Macaca fascicularis: one gene and its partners. The protein of the gene in region 5 purifies or fractionates together with the protein of the main gene of each other region. This does not show direct contact. Links are inferred from orthologs where the notes say so. Each region holds a gene or a part of one and is shown on either strand. Other genes may lie near its edges. The genes, in order: G3BP1, ORC2, TDRD3, CEP63 and FXR1.

The links.
Region 1: the proteins of FXR1 (region 5) and G3BP1 purify together in Homo sapiens (affinity purification with mass spectrometry; 3 studies listed by BioGRID and IntAct, with this or other methods). This does not show direct contact. The link is inferred for Macaca fascicularis from reciprocal best matches to the Homo sapiens genes FXR1 and G3BP1.
Region 2: the proteins of FXR1 (region 5) and ORC2 purify together in Homo sapiens (affinity purification with mass spectrometry; 4 studies listed by BioGRID and IntAct, with this or other methods). This does not show direct contact. The link is inferred for Macaca fascicularis from reciprocal best matches to the Homo sapiens genes FXR1 and ORC2.
Region 3: the proteins of FXR1 (region 5) and TDRD3 purify together in Homo sapiens (affinity purification with mass spectrometry; 3 studies listed by BioGRID and IntAct, with this or other methods). This does not show direct contact. The link is inferred for Macaca fascicularis from reciprocal best matches to the Homo sapiens genes FXR1 and TDRD3.
Region 4: the proteins of FXR1 (region 5) and CEP63 purify together in Homo sapiens (co-immunoprecipitation; 3 studies listed by BioGRID and IntAct, with this or other methods). This does not show direct contact. The link is inferred for Macaca fascicularis from reciprocal best matches to the Homo sapiens genes FXR1 and CEP63.

What each region holds. Positions count from the first base shown.
Region 1 is NC_088380.1:158,640,880-158,644,396, reverse strand, and holds part of G3BP1 (ras GTPase-activating protein-binding protein 1), read right to left. Parts: intron 1,811-3,517; 5' UTR 1,782-1,810; coding exon 1,492-1,781; intron 1,168-1,491; coding exon 1,086-1,167; intron 628-1,085; coding exon 454-627; intron 1-453. UniProt on the Homo sapiens protein: Protein involved in various processes, such as stress granule formation and innate immunity. Plays an essential role in stress granule formation.
Region 2 is NC_088386.1:96,692,910-96,696,426, forward strand, and holds part of ORC2 (origin recognition complex subunit 2), read right to left. Parts: coding exon 3,465-3,517; intron 2,306-3,464; coding exon 2,209-2,305; intron 1-2,208. UniProt on the Homo sapiens protein: Component of the origin recognition complex (ORC) that binds origins of replication. DNA-binding is ATP-dependent. The specific DNA sequences that define origins of replication have not been identified yet.
Region 3 is NC_088391.1:39,937,583-39,941,099, reverse strand, and holds part of TDRD3 (tudor domain-containing protein 3), read right to left. Parts: intron 2,472-3,517; coding exon 2,315-2,471; intron 1,291-2,314; coding exon 1,165-1,290; intron 1-1,164. UniProt on the Homo sapiens protein: Scaffolding protein that specifically recognizes and binds dimethylarginine-containing proteins. Plays a role in the regulation of translation of target mRNAs by binding Arg/Gly-rich motifs (GAR) in dimethylarginine-containing proteins.
Region 4 is NC_088376.1:37,393,754-37,398,002, reverse strand, and holds the start of CEP63 (centrosomal protein of 63 kDa), read right to left. Parts: upstream 2,816-4,249; 5' UTR 2,780-2,815; coding exon 2,504-2,779; coding exon of another isoform or gene 2,446-2,503; intron 2,416-2,445; exon of another isoform or gene 2,309-2,415; intron 1-2,308. UniProt on the Homo sapiens protein: Required for normal spindle assembly.
Region 5 is NC_088376.1:92,807,767-92,811,283, forward strand, and holds part of FXR1 (RNA-binding protein FXR1), read left to right. Parts: intron 1-276; exon of another isoform or gene 277-297; coding exon 298-505; intron 506-3,517. UniProt on the Homo sapiens protein: mRNA-binding protein that acts as a regulator of mRNAs translation and/or stability, and which is required for various processes, such as neurogenesis, muscle development and spermatogenesis.

The DNA of each region.
Region 1 (3,517 bases), on a different chromosome or scaffold from region 5:
AATAAAAAAAAAACCAAAAGATTAAGGAACAACTGCAGATTAGAAAAGACTAGAGACATGATAGCTAAATGCAATGTGCAATTATAGATTCCATGTTGGACAAGGAAAAAAAATAACTCTAAGACATTATTGGGATAATTTCCAAATTTTAAATATGGATTATAGAATAATTATACTGCATCAACATTTCCTGAATTTGATAACTGTACTATAGAATGGAAGAGAATTCTTTATTCTTAGGAAATGCCCACTGGAGTATTTTAGAGAAAGAATTACACACATGTGGGCAAGTGGTGACAGCTGCTCTAGGTAAGGTGTATAGGAGTTATTGTACCATTATTCCAAGTTTTCTGTAAGTCTGAAATTTCAAGTGTTATTAAAGATATGCACAACCGTTCATTGTTTTTTTTTTCCATGTTTCGATCATTACAAAATAATCATCCCTATACATACCTCAGGAGCAAGGACAAACGTTTGCATGAATCTCCTCAAAGCCTGGTTGTTGTTAGAGAGAAGCCCCATCACCTGGACTACCACACCATCATTTAGCGTGGCATGAGCATCAACATGGCGAATCTTGGTGTGGCAGTTGGTGAAATTTTGTGACATCACTTTCCTGTGGATTTCCTTAAAAAAAAAAAAAAAATCAACTGTGAATGCCTTAAAATTTAAATAACCTCCAACTAAAAAAAAACTTTCAACAAAACACAGGTAAAGAGAATGTACATATTTAAATTATAGGAAACGCAGACTGGATTTTGATGTTTCTTTGTATACCCTATTCCCAGTGACCACACTTGAGTTTTTTAAATAACTGTTCTGAATTAACACAAAGATGACCCCCATGCTAAAGCCAATTATCTTCCAACACACACAAGCTTTGTATCATGCAAAATTAACAAATCTGACATCACATAAATATTTCAACAAATATATTAATCAAATAGTAATAAAACACATCAACTTTTACTAAAAAGTTGAGAAATTTGATCCTCATCACCAAAACCTATTAAGTATGATCCACTTCAATTTTATGAGTTATTTTCTACCTGCTTAACAGCCTAAATAAGGCTTGAAATGCTTACTTTCTGTCCGTAGACTGCATCTGCTGGCTTTCCATTTGAATCCAATCCCCCATGGACATAAGAAGAGTTCTTTCCATAAAATCTGTAAAATGGGAAGATGATTTACTTGTCATCTTCAAGTATCTTAAGTTTTTTTTTTTTTTTTTCATGTTTGATACTGGCAAATTTCTTTTTTTGGAGATGGGGTCTCAATCTGTCACCCAGGCTGGATTGCAGTGATGCGATCATACCTCACTGCAGCTTCTATGTGCCACGGCCAAGTGATCCTCTAGCCTCAGCTTCCCAAAGTAGCTGGAACTACAGGCACATGCCACCATGCCTGGCTGATTATTTTTATTTAAGTAAAAATAAGGTCTCACTACGTTGCCCAGGCTGGTCTCGAACTCACAAACTCAAACAATCCTACCTGCCTTGGCTTCCCAAAGTGCTGGAATTATAGGCGTCAGTCACCGCGCCTGGCCCTGGCAGAAATGTGTTTTCTTTTTCATCTTTGTATGCAATCATCTCTCTATCCCCTACATGCCACTTGATCAACATCTGCTGAATGGGAATGGATTTGGTTCCAGGTTTCGGCGTAGGATGATACTGTTGGGAAGGATCTTGTAGTTGCATGTCAAGATGGCCACCAATACATAAGTTCCTATTTTCACTCAGGAAGAAAATATGCAGTAAGGCTGGAACAGCTATATTCTCCATAGACTTCAAGTGTCCTTTAATTAATGTATCTGAGAATAAATGTGAGCAGTTTCCCTTAAACACCTAGTTCATGCAAGTGGTTTTAAAAGCACTTTTTAATCATTTTTGCTGATGCAATTAAGAATGTCAAAGTCAATTCCTCATAGTTTTCACCCATCTATGTCCTTCTTTGATCCATTTTCATTAAAACAATATTCCATCAAGAAAGCAACACACCAAAATGCTCTAACCCAGGGACAACCACTATTAAGATTTGACATTTGTCTTCCATCTTCCAGGTAAACACCGTTTTTTTTTTTTTTTTTTTTTTTTTTTTGAGACAGAGTCTCATGCTGTTGCTCATTCTGGAGTGCCGTGGCGCAGTCTCAGCTCACTGCAACCTCCGCCTTTTTTTGTATTTTTAGTACAGAGAGAGGGTTTCGCCATATTGGCCAGGCTGGTCTTGAACTCCTGACCTCAAGTGATCCACCCACCTCAGCCTCTCAGTCCACCTCAGCCTCTCAGCACACCTCAGCTTCTCAAAGTGCTGGGATTACAGGCATGAGCCACCATGCCTGGCCTATACTTCTTTCTTGTTGTCATGTTTTATGTCAGTTTTATTCTATGGGGTTGAAATAAATTAACCAAATGTAAAAACACAAAAAAAGGCTGGACGCAATGGCTCACGCCTGTAATCCCAACACTTTGGGAGGCCAAGGTGGGCGGATCACCTGAAGTCAGAAGTTCGAGACCAGCCTGACCAACATAGGGAAACCCTGTCTCCACCAAAAATACAAAATTAGCCAGGCGTGGTGGCGCATGCCTGTAATCCCAGCTACTCGGGAGGCTAAGGCAGGAGTACCACTTAAACATGGGAGACACAGGTTGCGGTGAGCCAAGATAGCGCCATTGCACTCCAACCTGGGCAACAAGAACGAAACTCCATCTCGGGAAAAAAAAAAAAAAAAAAAGAGCCAGGCATGGTGGTAGTGTGCACCCGTAGTCCCAACTACTCAGGAGGCTGAGGCAGGAGGATCACTGGAACCCGGGAGGCAGAGGCTACAGTGAGCTGAGATCTCACCATGGCATTCCAGGCTGGGTGACAGAGCAAGACTCCACCAAAAAAAAAAAAAATATACACACACACACACACACACACACACACACACACAAACTTAGCTGGGCATGGTAGTGCATGCCTGTAGTCCTAGCTATGTAGGAAACTGAGGCAAGAGGATCACTTGAGCCCAGGAGGTCAAGCTATGATCGCACCATTGCACTTCAGCCTGGGCAACAGAGTAAGACTGTCTCAAAAAAAAAAGAAAAAAGAAAAAAGAAAAGGAAGGAAGGGTAAAAACTGCTTAGAGACTTGTTCTACCACTTAACAGTCATGTGCATATGTACTAGCAAATTTTTAAACACTCTGAGTGTATCTGCAAAATGAAGTTAACTCTCTTACAATGCCTTACCCTTCACTAAAGATTTTTGTAATGATCAGGAGGAAATGAGAAAAAATGTTCTGGAAATTTTAAACCCTTAACAAAAAACCCAAGGGTGGTGGTTCACACCTGTAATCCCAGGATTTTGGAAGGCTGAAGCAAGCGAATTGCTTGAGTCCAGGAGTTCGAGATCAGCTTGGGCAAAATGGTAAAACCGTCTCTACAAAAAAAATTAGCTGAGTGTGGTGGATTGTACCTCAGTCCCAGCTACTCAGGAGGCTGAGGTGGGAGGACAGTCTGAGCCCAAGAGTTCAAGGC
Region 2 (3,517 bases), on a different chromosome or scaffold from region 5:
ACTAGATAGCATTCTAACACTATGCTTGGGGGCCATTTTAAACAGCCAAATCACCGACACAAAAGCAGAAAAATGTGAAAAACATAGCACTGAACGGACTGCGAAAAGGATGCTTGTTTATAGTATGAGAGTTGAAACAAGACGGCAAAGCATTGCCTTGTTTGACCTCTGCTTAGAATGTGTACATTGGGCAATGCAAACTTTTTGCCACTCTGTGCATGTTTCACTTTGCAAAAGTGCCAAGAGTATTGATTTTGGGATTATAATAAATGTTAGCAAGCAGGAAAATTTGTTATTATAGAATTTGTGAATAATGAGAATCAACTCTACCTGTTTTCAAATGTGTACAGTTGGTATAAAAATGTATATTGTCTGGCTGGGCTCATGTCTGTTAATCCCAGCACTTTGGAAGGCCCAGACAGGCGGATCCCTTGAGGCCTAGGAGTTTGAGACCAGCCTGGGCAACACAGTGAGACTCCATCTCTACAAAAAATTTTAACAATAGCCAGGCAGATGGTGTGTGCCTGTAGTCCCAGCTAATGGGGAGGCTGAGTTGGGAGGATCACTTGGGCCCAGGAGGTTTAGGATGTAGTGAAATGTGTTTGTGCCACTGGATCCCAGCCCAGGTGAGAGAGAAAGACTGTGTTAAAAAAAAACCAAAAACAAAAAAGTATACTGTCCATTTCTATAAAGAACTGTAGGTAAAATGGGTGTAGAAGTGTGAAAGGAAATTTGGGACAGAAAGCTTTTCAGGTTGGAAACAAAATGAAGACAAAACTAAAGAACATGCCAGAATATTGACAAGATAAAAGTACTATGGAAACAGAGCTAGGATTATTGACATTATCAATAAAATTATCCATCAAAGCAGTTAGGCATTCTCATGTACTTCTCTTAATTTAGTCATTATTAAATGGCAATTAACTATCAGAGACTATATAATGCTATTTCCAATTTTCTGACATACTCACATAACCAAAACATTCACACCAAAAGAATCAGAGATCTTAGTATATAAAATTATCCCAATGTAATGATATATACACAGAATAAAGAAATAATGTTTTATTTATTTATTTATTTTTAGATAGAGTCTCACTCTATTGCCCAGGCTGGAGTGCAGTGGTATGATCTTGGCTCACTGCAACCTCTGCCTCCCAGGCTCAAGCACTTCTCCTGCCTCAGCCTCCCAAGTAGCTGGGACTACAGGCACGTGCTACCATGCCTGGCTAATTTTTTTTGTATTTTTGTAGAGACGGGGTTTCACCATATTGGCCAGGCTGGTCTCGAACTCCTGACCTCAGGTGACCCACCCAGCTTGACCTCCCAAAGTGCTGGGATTACAGGCGTCAGCCACTGTGTCCAGCCAAGAAATAATGTTTTATAAAAACATTAAACAATATAAAAATATCAGACAAAGATGTAACGCTCAAGTGGAGGCACTTTACACAAGCAAAACAAAACCTGAAAATTATTCTGAAATAAATTAGCTGGGCTTGGTGGTGCATGCCTGTAATCCCAGCTACTTGGGAGGCTGAGGCAGGAGAATTGCTTAAACCCGGGAGGCAGAGGTTGCAGTGAGCCAAAATTGCGCCACTGCACTTCTGGAGTGTTTTATAAACAGAAAGAGGCTTTTGGATATACAAACTTAAGAAAGTGGGACTAACATTTTTCTTCCCTGTTAAGTTCACAGAAAAGGTTCATAGAAAAAGGTCAAATTATTTTAGAGCACCAAGATAAGTGCCATTATTAAAATAATCTTTTTGGGCCAGGTGTGGTGGCTCACACCTATAATCTCAGCCCTTTGGGAGGCCAAGGCAGGAGGACTGCTTGAGCCCAGAAGTTCCAGACTATCCTGGGCAACATAGCGAGACCTCATCTCCACAAATAATACAAAATTAGCTGGGCACAGTGGCACACGCCTGTGATCTCAGCTACCTGGGAGACTGAGGTGGGAGAACTGCTTGAGCCCAGAAGGTCAAGGCTGCAGTGGGCCATGATGGTGCCACTACACTCCAGCCTGGGCAACAGAGAGACTGTCTCAAAAAATATATATATAAAAAATAATAATAATACTGTATGTATATGTATGTATATAATACATATAATATGTATGTATAACTGTACTGTATGTATATAAATACATGAATAAGTAGAAGTATATGCTTAACTTTACCCTAAAACTACAGAGCATCTACTTCATGTTACCTTCTTTAAATCTCTTTACTATCCAGTCTAGCTGATCCAGTATACTGCGGAAAGTACCCATATGATCGAGGACTTCTTCTGTTATAGAATTCAGGACCTATATCATGAATGTGCAAGAGGTGCCACATTAATTACAATTTATTGTCATATACAACTAGAAAATCAAACCTTTTTTTATAAATTAATAATGAATTTGGATTTCCCAAAAGTTTTAAAAAATCACTTTTAAAAATTCTACTGGTACTCGATGAATTATATCTAATTCATTGTTTTTTGCCTAAGTTGTGGCTAAAAGAAAATAGAAAAGAATAGCAAAGATATCAACGTAATAGGTAATATAAGAGGGCAGCAAAAACAAATGAAAAAGCTCCCAAGAACATGAGAAACATTAGAAAACTACAGTTCTATCAAAGGAAACAGGACACAAACACTATAGACACTTTTAAAAAGGAATACTACATGACTCAATATCCAGCACCCAAAAGATTTCATGTTCAAATGAGGAAGAGAGATTGAGCATTTGAAATAAAAATGATCTATGATAAATGTATTGTAAAACTATAGTCTTCACATCCTGTTGCATTTTAAAGCATTTTCACAGCATGTAGTTTGTTTTTTTTTTTTTTTTTTTTTTTTGAGAGGGAGTCTGGCTCTGTCGCCCAGGCTGGAGTGCAGTGGCCGGATCTCAGCTCACTGCAAGCTCCGCCTCCCGGGTTTACGCCATTCTCCTGCCTCAGCCTCCCGAGTAGCTGGGACTACAGGCGCCCGCCACCTCGCCCGGCTAGTTTTTTTTTTTTGTATTTTTTAGTAGAGATGGGGTTTCACCGTGTTAGCCAGGATGGTCTTGATCTCCTGACCTCGTGATCCGCCCGTCTCGGCCTCCCAAAGTGCTGGGATTACAGGCTTGAGCCACCGCGCCCGGCCCCGAGTTTTTGCCTAATAAAGCATTTTCATAGTTTATAACAAAACTGAAGACCCCATAATTCCCTTCTTTAGAAGTACCACTGATACTCAGTGTAGTAAACAAAACTAACATATTTTCCTAAGTTTTAATACATGTCAGTTACAACGTAGGACATTCAAAGATGGTTTCAAAGCTAGATTCTTCTGAGTCCAAACACATGGTATTAAGCACTATACAATCCTACTACCGTGAAGACTAAAACAAAAATTCTTTAATACTCCATCCTCATTTATGTGGAGGCATGAATTGGCAGAGGATATAATGTTTTTCCCTTTAACATTTTGAAACTTACTGATTTCACACTGATTCCGGGAAAGAAGCCATTGATGACAACGTGAATGGAAT
Region 3 (3,517 bases), on a different chromosome or scaffold from region 5:
AAACAATATGTAAATTGCCTATGGGGTGGCCCATGTGGCAACAATCTGAAGGCAGCTTTTAGGAGACAAAGCAGTCTCCAGGCAACACCAAGCAAAAAACAGGACCTCAGTCTTGCATCCACAAGGAAATGAAATTCTGCAAGAACTGGTGAGCCTGTAAGAGGACCTCAAGTCTCTGATAAGATCACCACTCCAACCAAAATCTTAACATCAGCATCTGAGACTTTAAACAGAGGCCCCAGTGAAGCTGTGCCTAGACTCCTGACACAAAGAAACTATAAGGTAATAAAGTTGCATTGTTTTAAGCCACTAACTTTGTGGTAATTTGTTACACAGCAACAGAAAACTAATACATCATGCTTACAAATCTTGCCCACGTCAAACTTTGTTTTCTCAAATGCTACACTGCCTTTTCTATATAATCTAGCAAACATACTTCAATTTTTATGAAATCTGAACATTTCACATTTGTTACAAAAGCATTTTATCTATGAGCTTATTTGGCTAGATTCAAAATATATCTGAATGATAAATTGAATTTAAAAGCATATTTCCTTAACTTTTTGGATCGTATTTTGAAAACTTATCATTTTAGAAAATATTTAATATATTATGTGCTTAGAAAAAGGCTGCATATTACCATACTTAGTTCTCTTTTCAATATGTCAATCACTAAAGTATATAAAAAAAAATCACATTGTGAAAGCATTTTCACTCACTGTGTGAACGTTTTCAAACTATGTAATATGGGGTGAAAGAAGAGATATACCAATTTCACAATCAAAATGTTATATAAGATTATATAATAAATTTTCCAAAACAACAATCTGTTTACATAGTTATATCTGTCATCTAGATATGAGCAAATTAGGGAAAAATAGTTTGGTGAGATTACTAATCCCAGTTAGGGGGCAAAATAAGCTGCCATTATGTTTTCAGAATATAACATTTTCTTCTGTGCTTTTGTCAAGCAGGAATTTGTAATTAAGTAAATTTATAAATAAACAATCAGGATATATGTTCATATTATAGTTGCTTTATTATACAGTTCCAAATAAAGTTTGGTCTCTTATAAAGAATACACTAAAAAAAAAAAAAAAAAAACCACACACACACACACACAGAAAGAAAAAAAGAAAAAGAATCGACTTTAAATTAGCCTACCTTCCACATTCAAAGTTCCCATTTTAGATTCCAAGAAATCAAATAATGTGCTTGGTGCTGATGGCCTTGCATTTCCCAGGTCCTCTTCATCTTCAGATCTTATTCGTCCCCTGCCTTTTCCTCTACCTTTAGATGTAAAAGCAAGAAATATGTACTATATATGCAAAAACAAAAAGAATATATACTAACATATAACCAAAAATTTTAAATAGGGATTTTAATTTCTTTCCATATTTTTTGTATAGTCTACATCTTTTCAGTAATTTTTTAAAGTTTTTTAAGTAATTATATTAAGTAGCACATTTAATCCTCTAAATAAATCATCTATTCAGAAGTCTGAATTTGTTTATATAAACTATCTTCTAAGTAAAAATTATAATTTATTCTTCAACCACAGACATTTTAAAAATAATATAGGACTGGGACTTGAAAAACCACATAATAAACTTGACCATGCAATGATTAAAGAATAATACCAAGGCCGGGCGCGGTGGCTCACGCCTGTAATCCCAGCACTTTGGGAGGCTGAGATGGGCCGATCACGAGGTCAGGAGATGGAGACCATCCTGGCGAACATGGTGAAACCCCATCTCTACTAAAAATACAAAAAAATTAGCCAGGTGTGGTGGCAGGCGCCTGTAGTCCCAGCTACTCGGGAGGCTGAGGCAGGAGAATGGCATGAACCCAGGAGGTAGAGCTTGCAGTGAGCCAAGATCGCGCCACTACACTCCAGCCTAGGTGACAGAGTGAGACTCCATCTAAAAAATAATAATAATAATAATATCACCAAGTAAATGTAATATTTTTGTTAATTTTTAAAAGCTTAGTCATTTACTCAGGTGGCAGAGTTCTAGAAATAATAGAACCAGTCACATATTTTCTCTGTTATTCATAACAACCTTGTTAAATAAGTCATTGTTAGACCCGCTTTGTTTTTGTTTTGTTGTTGTTGTTAGACCCATTTTGTACAAAGATGAAGACAACGAGACTGGGACTACAAATGTCTCTGTGGTTCCCAAACTGGTGTTCCTTCCACTTACCATAACGTTAAATAAAATTACAGCCCTCACAGCTAACAGCCTCTGTCAATAACAAATATTCATCTAAAAAGCAAACAATACTATCTGGCACACTGTTTAATAAATTATACCTCTCAGAGGAGGACCCATAACAGGTTTCTGTTTATTGCTTGTAAGAAGCACGTTCAATGCTGCTTCTAAGTTGTTGCCATTATCCATAAGAGCTTGCCTGGATGCTTCCTTACTGAAGCCCATTTCTGTTATGTGCTTCAGAGCTTTCTCATCAACCTGGAAGGAATAAAGAGAAAAGCTGGTTGGTAGCCCACACATAAGGCAATGCATAAACTTTTAACTATTTGCAGTCTTAACTAAAAATTACATCTCATACTTATGTAAAAATGTCATTCTAATACAACAGTCTCTTGCTGATTTTTTACAAGAGGCAAGGAAGAATCTGTATGATATGTGGGGTTGTGCCTTGAGTATTCTCTGACCTCACAAGTAACACTGCAAAAGCACAAAAAAGAAATTTTATGGTGTGTTAGAGTATGGCCTTTGAAAATAATATAGACAGTGAGGAGAAAACTACCTAATGAAACTTTTCCATGGTAAAAAATGGAAATTTTTTGACACTTCTCCATACTAGAAGAGAAATGTAATTCATACAGCACCTCTCCAAAAATGTAAAGTATTGAAGCTAACAAAATGATACCCCCCAGTAGCTTTTTTTTTTTTAACTATTACTTGAGTATTCTATATTCATTAGCAATACTATCTATGATGCCTTTGACAGCTATACTCCAACAGGAAAGTCTACTTTACAAATGCCAGAATCCAAATCTCTTTTAAAAATCTAGACCTGAATAGAATTCAAGAACCACTTAAGGAGTATAAACATATCCTACAAAGAAATTTCTTGAGCTAACCCCAGCTGAGAAAAACATAACTTTATATATCTAATAGTTAATAAGTTCATACATTGTTTTCCTGATTTCTTTAGTTCTTTGTCAATGATTTCTCTCAGACCTTTGAGCATATATAAGACAGTTCATTTAAAGTCTTTGTCTAGTTAAGTCCAATGCATGAGCTATTTGAGGCACGGTTTCTATGGATTTCTCTTTTTCTTGTGAATGGGCTAAACTTTCCAGCTTCTTTGTAGGCTTTGTAATTTTTTGTTGGGAACTGGACATTTTGAATCCTGTAATTAGGTAACTGAAAGTCAGATTGTGCCTCCTCCCCAAGGATCACTACTGTTACTTGATGAAGGTTACAGTCATCAGTTTGCTTAGTGACTTTTCTGAACTTTTTTGACAAGAAATATATTCCTTCTGATG
Region 4 (4,249 bases), about 55 Mb from region 5:
GGGGTTTCGTCATGTTGGTCAGGCTTGTCTCGAAACTCCTGACCCCGTGATCTGCCCGCCTCGGCTTCCCAAAGTGCTGGGATTACAGGCATGAGCCACCGCGCCCAGCCTAGGAACTGAATTTTTAATTTTATTTCACTTTAATTACCCACAGCTGGCTGGTGGCTATAATACTGGACAGTGCAATTCTACATCTAACTACTGGTTTAGAGCAGTGGTCCCCAGCCTTTTTGGCACCAGGGACCTGTTTCACGGAAGAAAATTTTTCAACACGGACAGGGTGGAAATAAAAAATTTTGTAAATATCTTTTTGTTAACATTCATATGAAATGTTTTGGGGGAGGAATGGCCAAACCACTTTTTATTTGTTTATTTATTTTCTTTTTTTTGAGATCCAGTCTCACACTGTAGCCTGGTCTGGAGAGCAACGGTGTGATCTCAGCTCACTGCAACCTTCGCCTCCCGGATTCACGTGATTCTCCTGCCTCAGCCTCCCGAGTAGCTGGAATTACAGGCGCACACCACCACACCCGGCTAACTTTTTTGCATTTTTAGTAGAGACGGTGTTTCACTATGTTGGCCAGACTGGTCTCGAACTCCTGACCTCGTGATCCGCCCACGTCAGCCTCCCAAAGTGCTGGGATTACAGGCGTGAGCCACCGCACCCGGCCAACCACTTCTTCAGTAATATGAATAATACACATGGCAAGGGTTAGGGGCATGGTTTCATGATGAAACTGTTCCACCTCAGATCATGAGTCATTAGTCAGATTCTCATAAGCATGCAACCTAGATCCCTTGCATGCGCAGTTCACATTAGGGTTCATGCTCCTAGGAGAATCTAACCCCACAGCTGATCTGACAGGAGGCAGAGCTCAGTTGGTAGGTAATGCTCACTCGCCTGTCACTCACCTCCTGCTCTGTAACCTGGTTCCTAACAGGCCACGGACTGGTAGTGCTCTGCAGCCCCGGGTTTGGGGGCCCCTGGTTTAGAAGCCATAAAGGCAACAGAGATACCTGTTAAAGGATACTGTGCAATGTAATCTGCTAAATTTAGAACTGTAAGGAAAAATAGGGGCTAATCCCATAGCTATAGCTATGAGGGAACTGCTATAGATTAAAAGATGTCAAATATGCATCACCCAAACACAACAGGCAGATCCCTGTGGGATTTTGGTTCAAACAAGCTAACTGCAAAAAAGACATTTAAGAGAGAGTTGAAGAAATCGTAATCTGACTGGACATTGACATTAGAGAATTTTCATTAATTTGTGTATGTGTAATGACAGTAGTGTGGCTTTGCAAAACTGAAAGACCTAGCTCCTGACGGGGGCGGGCAGGGGACTAAAATAACATAAAGATCGGAAATTCAGTTCCTGAAACCTTGTGTCAATGTTGGCTTTAGCTGAATTCCAAATCAAGTTGACATTTTTTGAAAGCAGGAAGCAATGACAGAGTGGACTACTGATGCTGTCACCATCTGCCAGCACAACGTAAATTAGAACAGAAAGGACTAAGCAAAGGCATTCCACCTTTTAAAGAGAGAAAATGGCATCAGTACAATCAACATATACAATTTTTACAAACAACTTTTAGAGTTGCATCTACATACATTTTAAAAGGCAGTGTGCCTGTTTATAAATCTCTACCCCATTTTAGTTTCAGAGCCTTTTTTACTACCCTGATCACTGATCATGCCACAGTCAAAAGGCAATCTCAAAAATTAATCTAAAAATAGTACTGCATTCCAAATAAGAAAATATATATACTTTGTTTTACTATTAAGCTACAGCTAACAGAAATCTAATCAACGATCCTTGATTTTCTCTTACCTAAAAAATAAACGCAAGCACGTGAGGAACTGTATAAATACAGAGCATCTACCCTACAATACTGCTTTATAAAAGAATAAATTCTTTTAATAAGTTTAACCGGACATAAAGCTCAGGGAAAACTACTTTGTGCATATTAGTGTACGGTGCTTAAACTATACAAGATGACTAGTCTCTGACATCATACACATCTTTACTCTCCTGATGTCGTATACGACATAAAAAAAACCACATTATAAGCCTAAATGTACTGTCTTCAAGTATCTCCATGATTAAAGTGTTCCTAAGAAACCGTCCTTGTTTCTTTCTATCCCTGATCTGTGTGCATGGAGCAGTTAGTTCAGGGTTCTCCAATTTCAGTCCACGATTTCTGCCATAATTCCGTACCTGCTGTACTAAACATAACCGTTTACACCAACTCACTATTTTAAAAGCTGCCAACCTTAACATGCCACCCTAAATGAGCGGGTCCCCTTGTGCCGTGAATGAAGTAGTCCTAACAGCGCTAGCTAAACAGCAGCCCTGGCCGGGAGGCCGCACAGGGGTACCTCCGCTGAAAAGAAAGGTGGGTCCGCCGGGAAAGGTGAGTACTGGGCGCAGCTCGCCCGCCCACCTGGCTACTCTCCGAAGCGCCCCCAGCCACCCGGCCTCCGAGGAAACGCTGTGACCACCTGGCGGGGCCGAACCGCGCGCCGGGCTGCGCCATGCCGGACTACGCCGGTGTGCAGGGCATAGCGGGCCAGGCCGAGGGACGGGGCTCCGGGGCGGACGCGAGCCGGCGGGGAGGCGCCTGGTGGTTCGCAGACTGTTGCGCGAACCGGCCGCAAGCCATGAGGCCGCGAAGCCAGAGTCACCAAGGCAGCCTGGGCCGCCTCCGGACCAGGACGCGCTCGCCCCTTGCGCTTCCGTCTTGCGCACGGGCGGTTACACGGCTGCAGCAAGCGCATCCCTCAGCCTTCCCGCCGTTACCTCGGCCGTGCACTGCGCACGCGCGCCACCACTAAGCTTACGTCCAGCCTCAGCAGTCGGAGCGTTCGTTCCGCCCACTGCCCCCACACTTTTAATAATTGAATCAATGTCTGCTCCAGACTTCCCCTGCACGCGAGCAAATGGACTCACCCACATCCGGGAATCCGAGAAAGAGCGTGCAGACGCGTGATGCGGTGCGAGGCAGGAGGAAGCGTCTGCCGCGCTGGGCCGCGTAACGGTAAGGGTTTGCAGCGCCCCCGGCCTAGGTTTTGGAGGCGCGGGAATGCGTTCGTGGCTCAGTGTCGGACTTCCCCCTATTTCCATCGGCCGAGGCTGTCACTTTACGCTCATAACCGTTTTCTTTACTGCACGCTGTGTCGGGAGGAAAGGGACTTGCTTGGCACCCCAGACCTCCCCGTCTCCGCTTCCACGTTTGGTACATCCTGCGTCAGGCCGGAAGCCGCGGCTGAGGGGCGGCCTCTCGTACAGTGTGGTGGCCTGCGAGGCTCATTTCTAGCAAGGAACAATATTTTTCCCGCTTTGACCTTACAGATACATGTTTACAAAGCTATAATGTATAGAAATGGATAAGACATGTCCCTGTCCCGGGAAACGCAGGCACTGCGTGTCTGGAAAGACATACATCTGGGCTGTTTGACAGGCTACCTAGTTGGTGCCATGCTCTGTGCTTAGGGAACTATGAGATCCCCGGTGGGTACCGGGACCGCGCTCAGCCTGAGGTTTGGAGGCGGCCTCCTGCAGGAAGCGACTTGAGACCTGAGATTTTTAGACTGACTATGGGTTCGCTGGAATAAAAAGGAAGAAACAAACAGCATTGCAGGCATCGGGACTGTCACGTGTAAGAAAAGTTTGTTCAGGAAACAGTTGTCGTATTGTGTGACGAGTACTTGGGACGGTGGCTGTGCCTTGGGCGTTGATTATCTTGTTGCTTTCCATCCTTCCAGCCCCTTAAGAGTGAAGGCACCTTCACGCCTAACCCCGGAAATGGGATGTTGACCTCCAAGAGCTGACGCCTGCGTTGATCTTGAAAGGAAGAGTGGCATTAGTGATGTGGAAAGGGGGGTTTTAACTGTCAAGGCTGGAAAATGTGACAGGGTTTGAGGTGTTTGGAGAAGGGACAGGTGAAAAAGATTGAGGCCAAATTGTAGAAAGATCTACTAAGGAATCCTGGGTACAAAATGTACACATAACAGTTGGAGACAATAATACCTGAGCAATTGATCACAAAGCTTGTTTAGTAGATTTAAGTTAGGACAAGAAGCAAGAGTTCAAGGATAGAAGGCCTACTGAAGCTCGAGTGATCTGAGAAAACCTTACTAAAAGGTGGAAAACCTATGTGGGCCTGGGAAAGTCAGGTTTGGATCAGCTGAGGAAAGTGAAAAGGGTATCCCAGGAGACACAGCAGCAAGGACAAAGGAGTAGCAGCA
Region 5 (3,517 bases):
ATTTAATAAATAACTTATTTTAAAGCTGTTAAACATCCCCTTGATCGGGGAGAGTCCATGTCCTCTTTTATATTGTATGCCTATAGCAGCATGTTCGGCACACTCTAGGCCGTTCAATAAATGTTGAACTGAAACAGCAAATGATCTCATCAATTCTGTTGACTAGGAACACAATGCTCTTTACCATCTACTTCCCTAAGGTCACAGTTTTGGTAAGGAGCACAGCTCTAGCTCTAGGCTTTAGGAAGACAAAAAGTTATATATAAGAAGACTTACTCATTTTTGTTTTGATTGTAGGAAGTAGAACAGCTAAGAATGGAACGCCTACAGATTGATGAACAGCTACGACAGATTGGTATGGGTTTCAGACCTTCTTCCACCAGAGGGCCTGAAAAAGAGAAAGGATATGCCACTGATGAAAGTACCGTCTCTTCTGTACAAGGTTCTAGGTCTTATAGTGGAAGAGGCAGAGGTCGTCGGGGCCCTAATTACACCTCCGGTTATGGTAAAAAAACTTTTTTTTTTTTTGTAGTAGTAATAATAGTAGTTTAGGTGCTCTAACACATTTTCTTATAATTAGTTCATTATCTTGGCTTTGAGGGTAGAAGGTAGTTTTGAAGGTTTGGTACATGTCTTAATAGTAGTGATGGTATACGTTACAATGACAGTAAAATATATAAAATTTCCAAGCAGTTATGTAACGAAGCAAAGCATGTTTTTAAGTTGGTAGTTCATTGTCATGTTCATTATATTTACAAATAATACATACGTAACTTGTTTTTCAAATACTTTGCTAGTACAGTTTTATACATTTCCCAGTAAATACCTAGTAATGGTGGTGATACTTTTAGGAATCATCTTTTGTCTACCCTCTTCAAGTAAAAAATGAAAAGTATGCGAATCACTGCCAAGATTGCATATAGCAAGTCTTTACTAGCTTTTAAAAAATATTTTATTTACTCATTTGGCATATTTGAATATATTAACATCTCACATCTGGAATTACTTTGTTTAACAACATTTCACTAAAATGAAGGCTCTGAAAGCCAGAATCTAATTTAACACTTCATAAATGAACATTTTCTAAAATATATTTCACTGTGAGGATTGGGTATAACCCAGGTAGGAAGGGGACAGTGGAGTGATGATAGTCAACAATTCTCTAATCCTAAATTCTCCCTTATTCTTCTTCAGCTTTGGAGTTGTTCCATTTTTCTACATTTGGACTTGGATCTTAGCAGTGACCTGATTTGTTTTTTTCCTTCGCCCATTTTCTTTCTCTTTTCCTGTTCTTTTCTTCACTCCTATACTTACTCTCTTTTGAGGAAATACAAAACATTTTCCAAAATGTAAGGCATTTAAGGAATATAGAAATAAATGCAAATTTCCTGCTTAATTGAAGGATCATGTAATGCTGACAAAGTTATATTAAACCTGAACTATCTTCAATTTGTTGTAGAGTTGTAAGTTTGTGTCCCTTCCCTTTAATATCATATCTTTATGTTCTCATTTTTACATATATATTTTTATTTAATGCAGTATTGAAACCTAAATAGCAAAATTCTAATAAAGAAGTATTCAGCATATAAATGGATGAAAATTGCAAACTGTTATTATATTTCTGAAAATGTTTAATGCAAAAGACAGTTAACCAGTAATCACATAGAAATTAAATATATTCTCATTGATTTTTGAACCATACATTATTAGCATAGATAATCAGACTTATTGGATGAAGAGTATGATGAATTCATTGAATAATTTTATTAGCTTTTGTGGGAAGTCTGCTTATTGAGAGCTTACTCTGGCAAAATGCTTTTGTTGAGAGTAGATAATTTATGTGAGAGGTAGAGAAACATCATCTGGATTCAAGAAAGCTGTGCAAATTGTTCAGTAGATGGCACTCTTAGCTCTGAATCTTAGCGGAATTAATAACATTTTATTTCTTGAAATAGTTACCAAATCTGAGTGGGCTTGGAAAAGCACGAAAAACCATTTGAATTTGGTTGTAGATGTTCATGTATACTTTATATGAGCGGGACTTTTAGTTGATTTTATATATATATATATATATATATATATATATATATATATATAAAGTATGAGTTTTATCAGTTTAATAGGAACTATAAGAAACATTTCCCAGTGTAACATCTCCGAAGTTGGTATGTGCGTTAAATTGGACATCTTACAACTTTAACAACATTTTCTTTTTTAATGACACATAAAATAATATCTTAAAATTGATGGCCTCTTGGAGTTGATAAAACGTGATTAGTTTTAGCTATTAAGCTTAGCACAACCATTGAAAATGATATAAACCATCTTCATAAGGTGATTTTAGAAGTTTGAGGGGGAAAATATGATTTTAAAATTGGTTAAAAACACAATGTCATTATGTTTCGTTACTTTTTTTTTTTTTTTTTTTGAGACAGAGTTTCACTCTTGTTGCCCAGGCTGGAGTGCAGTGGTGCGATCTCGTCTCACCGCGACCTCTGCCTCCTGGGTTCAAGTGATTCTCCTGCTTCAGTCTCCTGAGTAGCTGGGATTACAGGCATGCACCACCATGCCCGGCTAATTTTGTATTTTTAGTAGAGACAGGGTTTCTCCATGTTGGTCAGGCTGGTCTCAATCTCCCGACCTCAGGTGATCCGCCCACCGTGCCTCCCAAAGTGCTGGGATTACAGGCGTGAGCCACCATGCCTAGCCTGGTGTCGTTACTTTTAAAGCTTGTTTAAAAAGACTTTGAATCCCCAACTTGTATTTTACAAAATTAAGGGGTTGGAATAAATGGTTTCCCTGATTATTCATTAGAGTATTTGTTTTCAATTGCAGTAATAAATTATCACAAACTTAGAGGCTTGAACCACAGAAAGTTACTGCCTTATAGTTCTGTTGGTCAGAAGGCTGACATGGGTCTTACTGGGCTAAAATCTTGTCAGCTGGGCTACGTTTCTTTCTGGAAGGTCTGGTGGGATTCCCCTTTGGGTAGTTGAGAAAGTTTCTCTACTTTTAAAGACCCGGTGAGATTAGTTTGGACCCACCTGGATTATCCAGGATAGTCTCTCTATCTCAGCGTCCTTAGCCTTAGTCACATGTGCAGGGTCCTTTTTGCTATCACAGAAACATTTCATATGGGTTATTAAGAATTATTTAATATGAATAATGTTGAGCACTAGCCAATTCATTAAAATTTTGGGGGTTATGGCCTCAATATCTGTTTTACCTACTGAAATCTATGATTTAGACATTCCCTCTAAGTATCTTGAATACTATATGTAGGTTAAATTTAAGGAAGACTTTACTTGCTGTGACACGGGGTTAGATAAATACTAGTCTGGATTTCAAAGGATACTTCAATAGGAACTTTTGAGAGAGTCTTCAAAATGAAGTATTCTTTATTTGCCCTGAATTTTGGCAATGGTTTCAGATAGGGTATATGTGTGTAAATAAATTCAGAAGTTCTTAAACGTTCTGAAAGGTTTTTTTTTTTTCACTATTCAAGGAGAGATAAATT